Saccharomyces cerevisiae S288C: one gene and its partners. The protein of the gene in region 4 interacts with the protein of the main gene of each other region in a biochemical or structural test. Each region holds a gene or a part of one and is shown on either strand. Other genes may lie near its edges. The genes, in order: GSM1, ERT1, PIB1 and RDS2.

What was found.
Region 1: the proteins of RDS2 (region 4) and GSM1 form a complex in vitro, tested with the Saccharomyces cerevisiae proteins (one study listed by BioGRID).
Region 2: the proteins of RDS2 (region 4) and ERT1 form a complex in vitro, tested with the Saccharomyces cerevisiae proteins (one study listed by BioGRID).
Region 3: of the proteins of RDS2 (region 4) and PIB1, one has a biochemical effect on the other in vitro, tested with the Saccharomyces cerevisiae proteins (one study listed by BioGRID).

What each region holds. Positions count from the first base shown.
Region 1 is NC_001142.9:228,116-233,707, forward strand, and holds GSM1 (Gsm1p), read right to left. Parts: upstream 2,767-5,592; coding exon 910-2,766; downstream 1-909. Other genes in the region: mitochondrial elongation factor MEF2, read left to right, coding at 3,186-5,592. UniProt on the Saccharomyces cerevisiae protein: Transcription factor which regulates nonfermentable carbon utilization. Binds specifically to 5'-CGGN(8)CGG-3' and 5'-CGGN(9)CGG-3' sequences in the promoter region.
Region 2 is NC_001134.8:696,967-701,868, forward strand, and holds ERT1 (Ert1p), read right to left. Parts: upstream 2,978-4,902; coding exon 1,388-2,977; downstream 1-1,387. Other genes in the region: YBR238C (uncharacterized protein), read right to left, coding at 1-336; THI2 (Thi2p), read right to left, coding at 3,524-4,876. UniProt on the Saccharomyces cerevisiae protein: Transcription factor which regulates nonfermentable carbon utilization. Activator of gluconeogenetic genes like PCK1. Involved in restriction of Ty1 transposition.
Region 3 is NC_001136.10:1,087,442-1,091,898, forward strand, and holds PIB1 (phosphatidylinositol-3-phosphate-binding ubiquitin-protein ligase), read right to left. Parts: upstream 2,639-4,457; coding exon 1,778-2,638; downstream 1-1,777. Other genes in the region: SSF2 (rRNA-binding ribosome biosynthesis protein), read left to right, coding at 140-1,501; RAD34 (Rad34p), read right to left, coding at 2,992-4,457.
Region 4 is NC_001148.4:298,688-303,545, forward strand, and holds RDS2 (gluconeogenesis transcription factor RDS2), read right to left. Parts: upstream 2,542-4,858; coding exon 1,201-2,541; downstream 1-1,200. Other genes in the region: ODC1 (mitochondrial 2-oxodicarboxylate carrier), read right to left, coding at 1-816; COX11 (Cox11p), read left to right, coding at 3,029-3,931; 60S ribosomal protein uL18 RPL5, read left to right, coding at 4,434-4,858. UniProt on the Saccharomyces cerevisiae protein: Transcription factor which regulates the expression of genes for gluconeogenesis, the TCA cycle, and glucose metabolism. Involved in the cell wall remodeling process and drug resistance.

The DNA of each region.
Region 1 (5,592 bases), on a different chromosome or scaffold from region 4:
GTCGCTTAGGAATTTAAACTTTCAAATCGCATTACGCAATTCTCTAAAAACGCGAACCTTTCCCTGATATGTAATCAGGGAATTTCCTCAGAATAATATTCGATCTAAGAAACCGGAAACGAAATGAAAATTGTTACTACTTTGTTTAGGAGTAGTCAAAGTTCATTCAGCTATGGGTTATGATGAAATGATTTAAATTATTCTCGCTCCAGTATTAACTTATTACGTAATATGAGCTTAAAAGAGCAAGCTCCTCATCACTCACACTCCATAACATGAAGAACGAAAATAACCTAATCTTTAGGTTTCTATGGTATAATGAAATTAATATTATCTAAAGATAGTATTAACCACTACTGATGTTAGCCTTTTGAAAAAAAATCAAAAGAAAAATTTGAATTTTAAAGAAGAAGTAACAAAGGGAAGAAGTTTTTGCCAATCGGACAACACTAGCTCTATTTATACTTTTCTGTTGCTCCAAAAACAGGAAAGAACAAATTTTTCAATTTAGTGTGACCCGGCTAATAATAAAGAGGGAAGTAATAGGTAGGGTTTTACTGGCAAGAAATCCATATTGTTGCTCCCGAATAATATTATAAATTCTTGTAATTAATACAAAGTTTCTAGATCCACCTTGTTTAAAAATATAAAGTTATGCTTAAAATTCTTCAGGGAAGAAGGTTTTCAATGGATGATTTTACATTTTTGACGAATTCCTGAGAAACTAAATTACAATGTAAAACTGTACATAAATATAAATATTATTGTTGATACGGAAAGTAAAATAAAAAAAAGAAACGCTAAAGAATACTGAATTGCCAACCTAAGTAAAAAATAAGCGATAAAATCAAAGAAACGGACAGAATGCATATAAAAACTGTAATCAGTAATAAGCCCAAAAAATAGTGATCAGTCCATTTCAAAAATTGGTAAAAATTGTCCCATTACGAGAATTGGGATATTAAACGAGTCCCTTTTTACTGTCCAACAACAGGCACACTTCAAATAAAGACCGTTACTTAATAATAAATTGCACTTAGTAAAGATTGCTTTTCCATCCGTAGTAAAAGAAAACCCTTCTGTAATTTTTGACGAGGTAGAAGAACATGCGTTCAACATCAATAGTTTTTTCCTTTTATTGATATCATTGTAACCAAATGCCAGCAATTCGTTAAATATTTGAAAGTAATTCGAAACGCTTTTATGATCCAGATATTCAAAAATAAAGGAGGTGCGGTCTAATAGTAAATTTTTGTTAAAACCTGTTAAAGAATAGAATTCGTTACTGACAAAACAAATCTCGCCTGATCTTCTCCAGATGCACATCGGTGTGCAGCTTACTAATTTTGCCATGTTCTCCAAATCTAATAAAGCCCTTTGCAAGGTAACTTCCTGTAATAGCAAATCCTCTTCAATCATATTGGATGTTAACGAAATGAAAATTGGAGCATATCTTTCTAGTATAGAGCGTATTATAACTTCTAAATCATATCTCAAATTATGCTTTTGGGTACTGTGTTCGTCTTTTACTGAGGCAGATTTATCAATTTCAGCTCCTTCAAGAAATTTTTTTCTTAAAGTAGTTAGCAGTTTGGTGTATGCGAGCTTGTAATTATGCGGTTTTATTAAACATTTATTGTCATATAGGTCTTGAGGAGTCTTTACTAATTCACGAAACTTTGAAGGTGATATGAAATCGGTATCATGTTTCTCCAGATCTGCATCGGAGTGACTAGAACTGTCACATTCGCTTTCCAGTTTGGCGTTATGTGATGGGTGTGTATTAGCGTTTGCTCCACGATTCAAATGCAGCATGTCTAAAGATATAAAGGGCCTAGACACTACTTCATCATATGTATTGAAAGTAGAAGTGGAATGGCCGATCGAGGAGTCCTTTTGGTCATTCACGCTTTTTGTCGAGTTTAAAAGGTTCGTTAAATGCAATGACGAATTTCCCCGTGTAGATGCGCTAGGATTGGGATATTCTGATTCTTGGAGGGAAAATATCTGGGAGTTATTCGGTAAAAACGGCGTTGAAATATCTACTATATCCTTTAATTTCATGTATTCGTCATTGCACCACATACTATCAAAGTGAATATTAGTTTCGTCATCGACATCATCGTCACTCTTATTACTATCGTCCATTCCAGAGTGCACAGGAACGTTTGAAGTAGCAACCAAACAATTGGTAGCCAGCGGCTGCTGCATTGCTTTATGTTGCTCTAGGAAATGCGACTTTAAATTGAGAGTACTCTTCCGTACGGTGGGTATGATGGGGTCATTCATTAAATGTACTGCTTGTGAAGCTGATATATTATTAGAAGTATTTTCTAAGACGGTCTGGCGGTTATTCGTATTGAAGTTCGTAATACGTGGAATAGATCCAGCGCTTTGAAAGTTATCATTTATATTATACGTATATTGGATATTCGTATTGTGGGCAGGTGTTTTGCCTGGTTTTTCCTGATCTGAAGATAGAAAATCTCGCTGCAGATGTACGCTTGAGGGGGATACCGTCTTCGACGGCACATCATGTATTACCAGCCTCTTCCCCAAATTCAAGTATGGTTGTGTTCCATGCTTCTCAATTCGTTTTCTTGATTTCCTTTTCTTATCTCTGCAAAACTTCCCAATATTTCTTTTTAAACAGTTTTGACATGGCCTCCCTACGTCACACTGTATATGTTTGGTATGACAGAATTCACAAGCTGTCTGGATAGACTTTCTCGTCTGTTTCAACTCTGAAGGTAGTTTTTTGGTCATATGTATATATATTCTTGTATGCTGTATCCAAATATATTATTTCTTTACTCCCTTTATTGCTAAGCTGTAATACGTTAAATCATTCGAAATATGATCTATTCATGCAAAAACTTGATGTGTGTAACAAAGAAAATATCCGGTTCAGAGATCCGAACAAATGATAGTCGTACCCTTCCCCTTAGTGTTAACTCGTTTAAGCAGGCTATGATGATTAGTAAATCGTTTCAGCCTCTTCTCATTTCGACAATTTTTGAGGCCTTCCCTTAGTGAGAGGGGAGATAACCAATCAGCACAGAGAACGACGACGGCGCGGAGGCTGGGCGGTTAAAAGAAGATAATGTGAAATAGATCAACAAGCTTTCTGGTGGCAAAACGGCAGTCAGAGATATACAAAAGGGGCAAGATAAGTGAGGGAGGCTATGTGGAAATGGAATGTGCGCAGATGGGCGGGCGCAAGAGTAAACATTAGCAAGAACCGATTAAGTGTAATTAACGTTGGAAGTAGATACTTATCGACCGCAAGAAGTCCACTGTCTAAGGTTAGAAATATAGGAATTATAGCCCATATCGATGCAGGTAAAACTACCACAACAGAGAGGATGCTTTATTATGCAGGAATCTCAAAGCATATTGGAGACGTCGACACTGGCGATACGATAACTGATTTTTTAGAGCAGGAGAGATCCCGAGGTATCACAATTCAAAGCGCTGCGATTTCATTCCCATGGCGAAATACTTTTGCAATAAATCTTATTGATACGCCGGGACATATAGATTTTACTTTTGAAGTGATTAGGGCTTTGAAAGTTATTGATTCATGCGTGGTCATTTTGGACGCTGTTGCCGGCGTAGAGGCACAGACAGAGAAGGTTTGGAAGCAAAGTAAATCGAAGCCCAAAATCTGCTTTATCAACAAAATGGATCGTATGGGGGCGAGTTTCAACCATACAGTCAATGACTTGATAAATAAATTTATGAGAGGAACAACTACCAAACCGGTGTTGGTAAACATTCCTTACTATCGAAAACAACCGACTAGCAATGATTATGTTTTCCAAGGTGTTATTGACGTCGTAAATGGGAAGCGATTAACCTGGAATCCAGAAAATCCTGATGAAATTATCGTGGATGAGTTGGATGGTACTTCTCTTGAGCAGTGTAATCGTTGTAGGGAATCGATGATAGAGACTTTGACTGAATACGACGAAGATTTAGTCCAGCACTTCTTAGAGGAGGCAGAAGGCGATTACTCCAAGGTTTCCGCACAGTTTTTGAACGCTTCAATAAGAAAACTGACTATGAAGAATATGATTGTACCTGTCTTATGCGGTGCGTCTTTTAAAAATATTGGCGTGCAGCCTCTATTAGATGCTATAGTTAATTATCTCCCTTCGCCCATTGAAGCCGAACTACCAGAACTAAATGATAAAACCGTTCCAATGAAATATGACCCCAAAGTTGGATGTTTAGTAAACAACAACAAAAATCTTTGCATTGCTCTTGCATTCAAAGTGATTACGGATCCAATCAGGGGTAAACAAATATTCATTAGAATTTATTCAGGTACACTAAACAGTGGCAATACCGTTTATAATTCTACTACTGGGGAAAAATTTAAATTGGGTAAATTACTGATACCCCATGCGGGAACATCACAACCTGTAAATATTTTAACTGCGGGCCAAATCGGATTGCTTACTGGCTCTACAGTCGAAAACAACATATCTACTGGAGATACACTAATAACGCATTCGTCGAAGAAGGATGGGTTGAAATCACTTGATAAAAAAAAGGAGTTGACGTTAAAAATCAATTCTATCTTCATTCCCCCACCAGTTTTTGGTGTTTCCATCGAACCAAGGACTTTAAGTAATAAAAAATCGATGGAAGAAGCTTTAAACACTTTAATTACTGAAGATCCCAGTCTTTCAATTTCTCAAAATGATGAGACTGGCCAAACGGTTTTAAACGGTATGGGTGAATTACACCTTGAAATTGCCAAGGATCGATTGGTTAATGACCTAAAAGCAGATGTTGAATTTGGTCAGTTGATGGTGTCCTACAAAGAAACAATTAATTCAGAAACAAATATAGAAACGTATGAGAGTGATGATGGATATAGATTCTCCTTATCTCTGCTACCAAATTCCGATGCCCTTCCTAACTGCCTTGCATATCCATTAGGAGTCAACGAGAATTTTCTGATAATGGAAAAAAATGGTAATTGGGATAAAGAATGGAAATACCAAGTTTCTTTCGAATCAATTCTAAATTCTATTATTGCAAGTTGCATTGTGGGACTTCAAAGAGGCGGAAAAATAGCTAACTTTCCCTTATATGCATGCTCCATCAAAATCAATAGCGATTGGTCAGTCCCACCTGATATTGAAACTCCACAAGAAATCTTAAAAATTACTAGAAACTTAATTTTTAAAGCTCTCAATGACTTAAAACCTGAAAAATACAACCTTCTGGAACCCATCATGAATCTTGATCTAACAATCCCTCAATCTGATGTTGGTACGGTGTTACAAGATCTAACAGGAGCAAGAAAGGCTCAAATTCTGTCTATTGAAGACGAATCAAGCGTGTCAAATTCTGGCGCATCCACTTGTAATTCTCCAGAGAACAGCAATAGGATATATATTCCCTCTGATGCTGTTACAACCCTACACGCAACCAAAGATAAAAAAAACACTCAAGAGACCAGTTCTAATGTAAAAAAAATTATAAAAGCGAAAGTGCCACTAAGGGAAATTACCACCTACACCAATAAGCTAAGGAGCTTATCGCAAGGGAGGGGTGAGTTCAATATTGAATATTCCG
Region 2 (4,902 bases), on a different chromosome or scaffold from region 4:
ACGATTGTTATTGTGGTGATGATTACGGTTATTGTTATGATGGTTGTTACTATTATTGCTGTTATTCTGAGCTAGATGATTGTTGTTGTTGGCTCCAATGTTGCCACCAAAGTGAGGAACAAAATGGTTGGCTGGGCTTACCTGATAAGTAGCGAGGGCTGGATTGTTAAAAGTAGCAGGCGTGTAAGGAATGGCATAGTTGTGTTCATGGTGCTCCATAGCGATTGTACCGTTAAATTTCATTGGATGAGTCAGCGAATTCTTTGTCGGATGTGGAACAAACTGGTTTGGGGGTTTGCCCTTCAGTACTTGTGTTTGCTGAGCTAAACGGATCATAGGATCAGATTTGCAAGATAGAAAAGCAATTAGAGTAAGAAATATCAAGCTAATCACACGTTTTTAAAACCTCGATCCAACTATAGAACGTACTGTATTCAAGAAAAAAAACTGAGAGAAGAATGAAAGGAAAAGGGTTTCTATAGATATAACCAATGCGATATGTAACTTCAGTGCTGAACGACAAAGTTTCTTTATTGCCTTATTTTGACTTTCTTCGAGATGTCCATGGCATAACTTGAGCAAGGTTGAAAAAATTTTCTTTTCTTTTTTTCTCCGAAAGAAACCCGTTTCTTTTGGTGCACACACAAAGCTCGTGCAGAGTGCTGTCCTCTGAGAAATTACCGCAGAATCAGAGGATCTATGAAATTGCCTCTCTTGTACGAGCAGTTCACTGCAGGCACTCGTCCCTTCACACGGAAAAACAATATGGGAAAAGTTGCCTGAAAGTTTAAGCTTTTTTACATATTATCAAGGCAAGAAAAGAAGAGAAATTTTTCGAGAAAATGAACAACGAAGCAAACAATATGAAGAGGACTGCTGCTATTTTTCCAGTTAGGTACCATGTGGCATGCTGTTTTTCCGCAGTTCGTTATGTAAGGTGGAAGGCGGTGGTGTGTGAGACATGCCCTGTGAGACATTGGAAACTCATGCGTACAGAAAGTGAAACTAGCTCAATTGGTTGAGTTTTTTGATGGTATACGCCTGATGTTTTTTTCGACAACAGGTGAGTGAAATAAAACGAAGAGCAAAAAAAGAAGAAGAAATTTAAGAAAAAAAAAAAAAAAAAGGGAAGAAAAACGGAGCTACCCAATATCGGAAGATTCGTAAAGGCCGCCATATACACAATAGGGGCCCTTCGTTATATGTGCTCGAGCCTCTGGATATCGACCAGAATGAGCAGACGCCTACGAAACTGGTCAAGGCTTCAAGTAAAATTGCTGGAATCTGTTAACACTTTTAAAAGAACACAGTTCTTGACTTACTTTTGGTCTATGCATAGGTATTATATAATACGAGGTAGTAAAATGAGAAAAAAAGAAAAAAAAAGTCAATTGAGTATGGGCATGAAGTTACCCAAGATCATGAGGGGCAAACCAGAGACATCTCTTTTTAATGTCCACATACAGCAACAATGAATTATCTTGCCCTTGATGGGGCTTAAGAGCCTGCAAACTTTCATCTTCTCAGATCCTCTGAAGTCCCTATATGCAACTTTAGAGAGCGTTTTGAAGTAATCGCGTACACTTTCATCGTCCATGATCTCTACGATAAAAGTCATCTTGTTTAGTAGCTCCTCTCTTGTCCATCCGCATAGAATTTCAAATTCCTCGTTGACATAAGAAATTTGACCATTTCTTCGCCAAATACATGTCGGGGTACCGATTTGTGCAATAAATTTTACATATTCTAATAGAGTTCTTTGGTAGCATTGCTCCATAAAAATCATGTCCTCCTCGGTTAAAGTTACAGAACACGCAATGAAAATGGGCCGGAATTCGGCAATGGACCGACACATCTTCACCAGATCCTGCTGGTTGAATCGATGCTTTAGGTACACCAAAAGATGGTGGAATCCAGGTGTATGCGAAAAGGGGGCATTTATGGAGGTGTATATTTCCATTGGAGTAGAATAACGTAATGAATGTTCCCATTCTACATTGCTCTTGATGTTGGCAGCGTCTGGTGAACAGCTTTCCAGGGATACAGAGACCAAATGGTTTTTCCTCCGCTTTAAGGGGATAGCCAACTCGGGAAATGTTACCGTTTCGCTGTTCAAGTAATATTGGTTTATGCTTGAGTCCCAATTAATTTGGGAGCTCTTTTCAGATGGGTCCCGTGGCAATAATCTTTTAAAGTTTAAGGAATTATCAGCTGAATCAACGGGCACTAAGGGGAAATGGTTCGCGAAAAGATTAACTTGCGAAGCTACAATCTTGGCTGAATTTGGTCCCAGTAGAATAGAATAAACGTTTTGATTGGAAGATGGATACGGATGTGGGGGTATGTTTGCTCGCTGTTCGCTGTACAACTGGCGAATTTTCTCCATTTCTGTTTCTTCAGGGCTTGTATTTGTGCCCGTAGGGCTATTGTTACTGCTATTGCCTATTGTGGAGTTGGATGTGGAATTGGTGTTGGAGTACAGGATGTCAATAGGGATCTTGTTAGACAATGTGTCTTGATAGATGATATTCGACAGAATAGAGTACTCGGAATCTGCAGCATTCGATAGGAATTTAGCTTTGTGAACTATATGTTGTGGGCTGGTGAATTTTTGCTGTTCTCCCATGTTATTTACGTTGAGGCTACTATTGCTGGAGTTGTTATAAATGGGTATCATGATCTTGCGGGGTGGAAGGTCCGGTTGTATGTTCATTGGGAGCTCTCTATTCGGTATTCCAGCCAAGTACTTGCTTTTCTTTCTTGGAGCGTCAACGCATGTAGCCGTGAGGCCCTTGCTGATACATCGTAAGCATGGCCTTTTGGCCTCACATGACACATGCAATCTCGAACAGTTCACGCATGCCACGTTTGTGTTTTTTCTCTTTTTTCTCTTCTTTTTTTCGAGAGTATGATTTGTATTTGCAGATGTATCTGGGTCAGTTGATGTTTTGTAATCGTTTTCATCTGGAGTGCACATCACGATGATTCATCAATGTATTTTATTTTTATACCTTCGTGTGTCTGTTGTACCCAAAAGAAATGATAAAAATAGCTCAAGAGTATCCTGACTTTATATAACTAGCAATTTTATCTAAGAGAGTAATGCCGTTGCACCGGCTCTTGTTTAGTTTTTTTATGTGGTTACTCTTTTACAATATACTAAAATTGCAACTCATTTGCTTTTTTCATTTCTTTTCCTTCAATTTTTTTTTTTTTTTAGTCTACGGCTAACAAAAAGCATAGGCTCAGAATGATAGATAGATATCCGATAAATGTCAGTAAAGACAAAGAAATCAGTAAAATAAACGTTTCACCCTGGCAGATAGGAAACCCTATCTCCCAGTGATAAACTTTAATTTTTTTTCGTGCATATATATATATACATATATAATATAAAACAAAATATCATGAATTTCTATCTAAAGTAGTGGGAAAAAATATGTCGTTAAAAATGGGTATAATATCCAAGCAAAGCTTTTGGCTTTTTTTTTCTTGAAATGAGTGAAGGGAAGGCTCAATAAGCCTAGTCCTGCATGGCATATACATCCTTGTAAAATTGTTGATTACACTTCAGTTGTAGCTGCCAGTACCGCAGTTGGGAACATGAAAGTGTGGTATCTTGACATGAGCAAAGTTGTTGCAATATTGTATCTTTCCAACTATTCACTAGGCGCTCCGTGACCAAGACATGTAACTCCGACGTAAGCTCGTCCTGGTAGGGATCCTCGAATAAGTCGGCATTCCCTAGCAATCCATTACAATGGTACAGGACGTCTAAATCTTGTGTATTGTTTATGATAAAGTTGACCAGCGGATACATCGAAAATCTCAATAGCTTTTGCTGGAGAAACCACACTCTTAGAAGCTTTGTCAAGTTGGGGCAGGTATATCCATGAATGATGACCAGCATTGTTATAGCTATGGATTGCCAATCGACACAACTCCAACGAGCGATGCACTCTTTGAACAGGCACGAGGCCATATTGATGTCCGGGTCGTCAATTATTTTCCCAAGGAAGCGTATGAATTCCGTGGTCAACGAGTTCCTCATCTTATTGATGAACCACGTCGTGTATTCTTGTCGGTTCAATATCATGTTCCCGTAGCAATTAAACCATAGGATCCCGAAAATTTTGCCTTGGATAATATCGATCAAAGAGGTGCTGTCTTCTGGCGGCGATGACAGCGCTGCAGTAGTGGTTTCCTCTGCTGACGACATCGAATGACCCGGCGACGGCAGCTGATCTGTAAGAGCAGAGGTAACTGCAGCCGGATTGGCCCTGAAAACTGAGTAAGGCCCGTGTTTGGAGCAATTGAGGTTGACCACAGATATGTCGTTTTCCACCATATTAAGCAATTCGTCCAACTTCTTGTCTATGCGCTTTTGAGTATAATCTCTATTTGTCATGCTACCAAAGACAGAGGCCACAGCGTTATTGTATATCTTCAATCTCCGTACGCTTATGGTGAATGTATTATCGTTAGGAAGCGTAGTTTCCTTACTTGCCTCGTGCACGCTGTCTTCGCAGTCACTTGTCGGGGGTGATAGTTGTCTAAAATGGGTCATTTGTTTAAACCTTGATTTTGAGATTTTCTGGCACAATGGTTTCGATTTCGATTTGCGAGCCTGTAATGAACTGATCAGTGAATGCTTGCGTACTTTGTAGATGTTCTCCTCTAACCACATAAGTCTGATATCGTAACTACAATTATCTCCATGTTTGGCACACAGTGAACAGATTGGTCTATTCTCGTCGCATCTGCGTTTCTTGAATCTGCATGCCCAGCACCCAGTAAATGTCCTCCCCTTGGTGGGGGGCACTTTGGAGGATGACGCTACTTTCTTGCTTCTCTGCTGCCTCTTACTATTGACCATTTGGTTCTAGTGCGGATATATATATA
Region 3 (4,457 bases), on a different chromosome or scaffold from region 4:
TTTTTAGTGTAGATGCATCTCATCGACGGGCTTGTATGAATGATATTAAATAGGCAAAATAAACTAGTCTAGCTAATATTCGACTAAATTGCAGCTGCTAGGTCACCATCCCGCACATACCTTAGATATTTTGGAACTAATGGCTAAAAGAAGGCAGAAAAAGAGAACGCATGCGCAGATCACACCCGAGCAGGAACGAGATATTCCTAAATCCATGGTAATCAGAGTGGGACAAACTTCATTGGCTAACCATTCTCTAAACCAATTAGTAAAGGATTTTCGCCAGATCATGCAACCGCATACGGCCGTAAAACTAAAAGAGCGCAAGTCCAATAAACTGAAGGATTTTGTTGTTATGTGTGGCCCATTAGGTGTTACGCATCTTTTCATGTTCACTCAATCTGAAAAAACAGGAAATGTCTCGCTAAAGATAGCTAGAACTCCACAAGGTCCTACTGTTACTTTTCAAGTATTGGACTATTCACTGGGTAGAGATATCAAAAAATTTTTGAAGAGACCTAAATCGTTAAATAATGATGATGTATTAAATCCTCCATTGCTAGTGTTAAATGGGTTTTCCACATCGAAAAGATCTGATGAAGACGATCAGGATGTAAACGTGGAGAAGGTTATTGTTTCCATGTTCCAGAATATTTTCCCACCTCTGAATCCTGCAAGAACTTCGTTGAATTCTATCAAACGTATATTTATGATCAATAAAGACAGAGAAACGGGGGAAATTTCTATGCGCCACTATTTTATTGACATTCGAGAAGTAGAGATCTCTAGAAATCTAAAAAGGCTTTATAAAGCCAAAAATAATCTAAGTAAAACAGTGCCGAATTTGCATCGAAAAGAAGATATTTCTTCTTTGATATTAGATCATGACTTAGGCGCCTATACATCAGAATCTGAAATTGAAGATGACGCTATTGTGAGAGTGGTTGATAATCAGGACGTGAAGGCAAAACATTCTCAAACTTCGCTGTCGCAAAAAACACCCGTTAAAATGACAGATAACGAAGAACGTGAAAAAGGAATTGAAGAAGAAGATGTGGAAATGGAGGAACCTAAGCCTTCAGAAAATTCGCAACCAACTCCACGTAAGAAGGCTATCAAACTGACTGAATTAGGACCAAGATTAACTCTAAAACTGGTCAAAATAGAAGATGGTATTTGTTCAGGTAAAGTATTACATCATGAATTTGTTCAAAAATCAAGCGAAGAAATCAAAGCCTTAGAAAAGAGACACGCTGCAAAAATGAGGCTGAAGGAACAAAGAAGAAAGGAACAAGAAGAAAACATTGCTAAAAAAAAGGCTGTTAAAGATGCTAAAAAGCAACGTAAATTGGAAAGAAGAAAAGCTAGAGCAGAAGAACAGGGTGAAGGTCAAGGGAAAGATGGTGCAATGAGCGATGATGGATCTTCATCGAGTGAAGATGAGCATTATAGTGATGTACCAGAGGATTTGGATAGTGACTTATTCAGTGAAGTAGAATAATGCACGATATGTATATATATCCTCCGTACGTAACATCACTATCCATATAGTAGCCATGACTCCGATGGACTTAAAGAACCAGGAAGTGTCTGTTTATTCATAGGTGAGGGAACACCTCAAAGTAAATATTAATGAATATATAAGATCATAATTAAACAAATATATAGAAATCTTTTACAATTAAAGAAAAAAATAAAAGAAAAGGGAAGTTAAAACTTCGATTATTAACAGCTGAAAAATTAAACTTTGTAATGAAAAGCAAATTGGGAGTTATCGTTAAAATACGGCATCATGGAAAGGACAAAAGTTCCTTTTAACAAAAGCATGTCCATTTCCCTTCTGGGCTGCAGTCATTTGCGCCCTTTTGTGAAACCAGTTCTTAATACACTTATAATGGAAAACACACAAGCATTCTAGTCTCCCAACTTTCTCACCGGGTTCCATATTCTCAAAACAAATCGGGCACTCCTTAATTGCATTATCTGTTGTATTAGGCGATATCTTGTACACTAACATTCTATTTTGAAAGGCAGGGCTTTCTTTTACGGAGTCATCTGCTGCATCTGACGTATTCGTATGTTGTTGGGCATTTTCAGCTCTCTGTATGCAATCCTCTACGTGCTTTCTGGTCTCTTCTTCATCAGGAAACTGTGTGAGATCTGAGTTACAAATAGGGCAGAAGTGATCCTCCTCGTTTTGTGAACTTTCTTCGCTCCTGCATGCCGTACCGGATTGATCTACCGAATCTTCCAGGATTTCCGCGTCTTCATCAGTGTTGCTATCTGGTGCAGAAAGTGCAAGTGCATTTGGTGGTACCGAAGTTTGCGATAGTCGTACATCTCTGTTGGTGGAGGATACTAGTAGATTTAAATGAAGGAGGTTATCGTAGCACTCATTACAAGTTCTATATGGAGGCGATTCCACGTCGCTATTTTTTTTCTGCAAGGCATGGACTCTCTTTTTATTATAATTAACAAAATTTTCGGTACAAGACGAACAAAATATCCTTCCACAACACCTACAATGGTGTCTTCTTACGAGAAACGAAAAGTTCGTCTTGCATTGAAAACAGCTGTGAGCTTCCTCGTCTGCCTGCCACCTGGCAAGATTATTGATACAGTCCTCTTTAATAACCATGCGCTTTAGTTCTTCATATGTTCTTTTCTAGCAGAAAAAAAAAAAAAAAAACAGCAGTAGTGTACAGTGTTTGATCAGGTTATTTCTTAATCGTCCGTCCCCTGTTTACTATAAATCCCGAGAATAGTTCTACTTTTTCTTTTCTATTCTTCTCTTCGGTGAGCTGCTTCGATGCCCATTACCCGGATTCCATGATACTCCGCTATTTCACTGGCCCTTATCGAAGATTTCCTTCTCCAGAGATATGATTATGCACAGGCTTCCATACGCTCTATCGATCGTGCAAACATTTATACCCTCTGCGAAACAGCGTCGAATCCATTTTACTTTAGAAAAGGTGAAATACGATGTAGTCAATGGTCGTCCAACGTTTCTTCATTATTTCCAACATTACCGTACTCAGCATTTAATCGATCGTTAACTCGTAGCTTTCTTAATAGAATGTCCCAGAACGAGAGTCCCAGTAGTACTTTAGTTTGCTGCTTCAAAAGCTGGACTGCTTTATAGTCTGTCTCTTTGACTAGAATGCTTTCAATTTTCGGAATGGCATGGCCTTTTTTCTGTTTAAAATCAAATCCACTTACCACATCCAAATACTTGATTTTTTGCATCTTTCTTTTACCTTTGTTATACTCCTTTATCAGGCATTTAATATCAACTTCTTTGCTAAGCGGTATTAATTCAAATCCATCAGGCTTAGTTTCTTTCGAGTAAATTTCGATGTTGCCAAATTTATTTTTATAATGCGACAAATCTGTTATCACATGTTCCTGTCCTAAATGATCGCAATACGTGCTGGGGTATTTAGGAGACTTCATTGTTTGCTCATACGAAAACAATTCTTTGATAACGTACTTGTCTAGGTTTCTTACCATCCTTTCCCTCATCGGTAGATACTTTTTACGTTTTAATGGTTGAGCATTAGGTAGAATGGAACGCCCTAATATTGCCCAGTGCTGTTTACTCTTTAATTGAATGACGTCTCTTCTCCAAAATATGGGCTCTTGTGAATTGTCTCCCTTAGTAAATGTTGCGGCTTGTTTTGCACATGCTTTTAATACTTCATTAGACTTTAACAGAGAGGGAATCACGAAATTATCTGTTCTTTTAATCTCTGTCACACTCTTTGGTAATGTAAAATTAGTTAAAGCAATCTTTTTCATTATTGCGTAATGATGAACAGATGCTTTTTTCTTGTTCAAGACTTTCAACCACTTAGATAGATATTGGTAGCTAGTGTAATGCTTCGATTTCAAAATAGGAGAAGACTCAGATAATTCAAAGTACCTGTAACAAACATTTGGCACATATCTTGGTGAAACATCTTGTAGTACCTTTTCAGCATGATTGATACGGACTACATAATGAAACTTTTGGTTTAGGTTGTACTTCATGTCTACCGAAGGTTGATAAGTAGGGACAAACTGATCTTCGCGTGTTTTCAAGACCATTTCACGTTCACCCAGATGGGCTATAGGGTCAATGATGTATAATTCACCATCGCTCAAAGTAGGAACTTCTAATTCAATCCAAAAATAAGGTTGTATTAGGTCAGAGTCAAATCTGTTGGGAACTTTGCCAATACCATGTTCGATTTGCCACTTCACCTTATTGCACCTAATATCGTAATCGTGCAAGGGCAAGGCAAAGCATAAGTAAAGCTTCTTAGGCCCCGGTAGCACATTTTCTAAGATAATAAAGAAGAACAACGTTAGAATATCTCTGTTGGCCATTTTCCTTTTAGCCATCTTGCGAATATCTTCAACACCATGATTTATCAACGGCCTATTTCCATAAAATTCTTGTTGATTTTCAAGAA
Region 4 (4,858 bases):
CAATGCTTTAAACCCTTCCTCACGGTAAACTAACAGCACTGAAGGCAGGGACCAGTTGTACTTCCTCAGCGGCCCGGAACTTCTTTGGATCCTAGATTTTACCACGTCAAATGGTGTATTCAACAAGCACCCGACAGTGCCACCAATAGCACCTGCGATCAAATCATTTCTGGTCTTTTCCGTGCTTGTTTTAGCCGCCGGCAAAAGCTTCCGAATTTGGAATATTATACCGAAATAACCGGCATTCCAAAGAACGTGTCTCCAGATAGTGGCTTCCAACCCATTGAAAAGTGACAAAACACCACCTTTCACAACACTATTCTTTACAACTTCAATGGGTGTCTTGAACTGTGAATTCACATCCTGTAATCTAATCTTCACTAGTTCAAAAGGCGCGACGACAAAGGCTTCCACGGCGCCAGCGGACGCACCACTGTATATGGCGATTTTTTGAGTCATCTCCCCATTGGGCGTGGGGAAAATCTTTTTATAAAACGTTTGGAATGTATCGTTTCCGGAGAACTTAATTGCTCTTTTCGGAGCCTCCATTAATATAGGCGATGTGATACCCTTGTAAAGATGCGAAAATCCTTCCTTCTTCACAATTTTTGTAAGACAATCCATCACGCCCGTGTAGTGATCTACTGCTGCTTTCGCTGCAACAACAGCGGGATGACCTTTGGTTGTCACTTGTAATTGCATTCTTGTCTTCACCACGTCCAATGGATACATCACCAATAGCTCCGAGACGCCGGCAATGGCACCGGCTGTGAACTGGTATATGAACGGCAAAGGTCTATTATCTATAGATGTCATCTTACAGTTCTTTTTCTTTCACCCTCGTTACAGTTCTATCTTGAGAATAAATGAGATAAAGGTTCCCAAAAGTCACTGATATATATCAACGGCGGTCACCCTCACAGAAATACCCGAGAATCTGCCCTTCGCCAAATCAGATTCAGCCAGTTCGCAGTTTTTTTCCCTATCTCTGGTCGCCGCATTATGAAAAGATCCTGGGGTAATAATGGGAATGATTTGAAAAAAAACAAATGCTGGTAGAAAAAGGTCTTCGTATTGCTCGTAGTAATACGGCTATTTCAAGTAACTGCTCGGGCCAGCGGCTTGAGGAAAAAGTAAACCCGTTACTTTGCTTTTTAATGACGCTGGAAATACCAATTACCTACTATGTATTACTTATGCTTATGACAAAGGGATGAAATTCCCGACGATGCAAATTGGGATGTTGTACCTATCCCTTCTGATAGTGAAACTAAAACAGCATGGCCGTTTGCGGATTCCATCTTTGGTTCGAAGACTACAACTTGTTAAAACAGCCTTCTGACCCTTATCAAACGCTATGGACCCGTATTTTTCCCAGAAATTCACAGCGCTTTCTTCTGTCATCAACTCGTAGATCGCAAGCTTTCCATCGCGTAAATCATCGACTGTGCAGTCAACCAGTGAAGCAAACTCTTTATTGGCTCTGTAAATCTCACCGGTACGCCTACACAAGCACGCTGGCATGCTCATAGAGGTGAAAACACGATCATAAGATAATAACATCCTCTCGAAGCTCTCCTCCACTAAAACTAAGTCAACATCCTTCAATGAACGCGCAATGGTTCTAAACGCCGGTCTAATGGTGGATAGTGGTTTCAGAATCCTTTGCTTGGAAGACTGATTCATATATTTGTCCATGTAGTCTTGTAGTCTTGCATACCCCTTGGCATAATTATACGGCTTCAATAATCCTGCTTCAAGCTTCGCATTTATGACCAACTTCAGCCGGTGTTCTGGTGTCATCTCTGTTGACGGATCCGCCGCTGTTAAAAAGAATTGTTCCTTCGGTGTCGGTGCACTGTTTTCGTTTGCATTCGCTAGAATTCGAGACTCTTCCTTTTCTTGATCTTGTTTATCCCCTTTCGAGATACTATTGGAAGAACCTGACATAATAGTAGGCGACCTATTTTCTTGTCTTGCCACTCCTATTTCATCCCTACGATTGTCGTTTTGGTACTCTAATGGCGATTGTGTGGTTTGTGAGCCATTTTCCAAATGAACATTGCTCGCACTGCTGGAACTTAGTGATGTTTGAGTCAATAGAGGATTTTCTAGCATAGAAAGAAATTCATTCAAAGAACTGAATTCCGAACCAACATTCTCGGACACAAATACAGGTTGTTGCGGAAGCAGCAAGCTGGTTGTATCATTTACAAGAGAGGAGTCTAGTTTCGGTGACAGTTCCTCTCCATATGTGGATCCACTTTTATTGACTGGTTCATTCTGATAGTCAGACGGAATTCCAGTGTGTGCTTTATTTGCATATTTGCCCTGTATATTATTATCATTCGGAGAACTTTCGTGCTGTGATGGCATCTCATTTGGAACCGCAATATCATCTTCCCTGCATAAATGGGCAATATCCCTCTTGACGCACCTAGAACATGGACGTTGCTTATCACATACAACATGTGACCGTTTACAAAATAAACATGTTTTAAAAGCCTTACTGGCTCGTTTTACACCACTGTTTGCTGACATTATTTCGTCAGTTTATATAAATATGTGTATTTTGTGTTGATTAAAATTAAAAAAAACTTTATCTCACTGGCAAAGAACTCCCGCAAATTTTCTCATAAGAATTACTTTCTTCTTCCATCCCAGAGACCTCATCCTTTTTTCTAATATTCAACTATTTTTCATTTTCCTTCGTACTCTTTGTTTTGCTTTTTCTTGTTTTCTGCCATTCCAAAACATTATTCTCCCCATCTAAGGAGCGGATCTGTAGGAAAAACAGCGTAACCATTGGAAAACCCTTTCCCTAACCAATGCCCTTTGACGGATGAAACATGATATATCTTTTAAGGACATAGATACTAACCAATACAAATCAAAGAACAGTGAAGAGTCTAAAGGGGCAGCGAACGCTTAAGTATCTTCTTTAAAGTAATAATATTCCTGTCGCAGGTGAAATAGCACTTCAGCGCACAAACAAATAATATTGCAGCCAAAATTCCCTAATATTGTCATGATAAGAATATGTCCCATTGTTAGATCTAAGGTTCCACTGTTAGGAACTTTTCTTAGATCCGACTCATGGTTGGCACCTCATGCGCTAGCTCTAAGGCGGGCCATATGCAAAAACGTTGCATTGAGAAGTTATTCAGTGAACAGCGAACAACCAAAACATACATTTGATATTTCAAAACTTACTAGAAATGAAATCCAGCAATTGCGAGAGTTGAAAAGAGCAAGGGAGAGAAAATTTAAAGATCGTACGGTTGCATTTTATTTCAGCAGCGTCGCGGTACTTTTCTTGGGTTTGGCATATGCAGCGGTACCACTCTATAGAGCCATTTGTGCTCGTACTGGTTTTGGTGGGATTCCCATAACAGATAGAAGAAAATTTACCGACGATAAACTCATTCCTGTAGATACTGAGAAGAGAATTCGTATCTCATTCACCAGTGAAGTATCACAAATTTTACCGTGGAAATTCGTTCCTCAACAACGTGAGGTTTACGTTCTGCCTGGTGAAACAGCCCTCGCTTTTTATAAAGCCAAGAATTACAGCGATAAAGATATTATTGGTATGGCTACTTATAGCATAGCGCCTGGTGAAGCAGCTCAATACTTTAATAAAATCCAATGTTTTTGCTTTGAAGAACAAAAGCTAGCTGCCGGTGAAGAAATAGATATGCCTGTCTTCTTTTTTATCGATCCAGATTTTGCTAGCGATCCAGCGATGCGAAATATCGATGATATTATTTTACATTACACATTCTTCAGAGCTCATTATGGTGATGGTACAGCTGTAAGTGACTCTAAAAAGGAGCCTGAGATGAATGCAGATGAAAAAGCAGCGTCATTGGCTAATGCTGCTATTTTATCCCCAGAAGTTATAGACACAAGGAAAGACAACTCAAATTAATTGTAAATACAAAGTCATTCAATGTACATAAATACTGTTATGCTTTTGAATTAAGTAAAACACCATGACTTCATATTGAGATGTTTTAAGCATATAATCACGGCACCGAACTTCTTGTAATCATCAAATCTTTGTTTTCTAGCCGTCATAGAAATGAAGAAATGAAGATTCTTGTTCATGTGATACAGCTTTTCTAGACAGCTAACTTGTACATCCAGACATCCTAAAACACCCATAAAGCAAAAAAAATTATTGAAATATTCTCTTTTTTTTCTTTTTTTTTTTTCTGGTGGCTTTCAATGCGGAATCGCTCACATCCGAAAATTTCAGAGGCTTCACTTAGCGTCGCAGATCCCAGTAGTCGCCAGATGCTTTGAAAAAAAAAAAAATAAATAGAAAAGTTTGTAGACATATCCGATGTAGTATATTTCAGAGGCCAACCTTTACTTTTGTTTTCTCCTACACTTCAAAATAAAAGACACCGTCACAAATCTCAGCAACAATGGCTTTCCAAAAAGACGCTAAGTCCTCTGCTTACTCCTCTCGTTTCCAAACTCCTTTCAGAAGAAGAAGAGAAGGTAAGACTGATTACTACCAAAGAAAGAGATTGGTCACCCAACACAAGGCCAAGTACAACACTCCAAAGTACAGATTGGTTGTTAGATTCACTAACAAGGATATCATCTGTCAAATCATCTCTTCTACCATCACTGGTGATGTCGTCTTAGCTGCTGCCTACTCCCACGAATTGCCAAGATACGGTATTACCCACGGTTTGACCAACTGGGCTGCTGCTTACGCTACTGGTTTGTTGATCGCCAGAAGAACCTTGCAAAAGTTGGGTTTGGACGAAACTTACAAGGGTGTTGAAGAAGTTGAAGGTGAATACGAATTGACCGAAGCTGTTGAAGATGGTCCACGTCCATT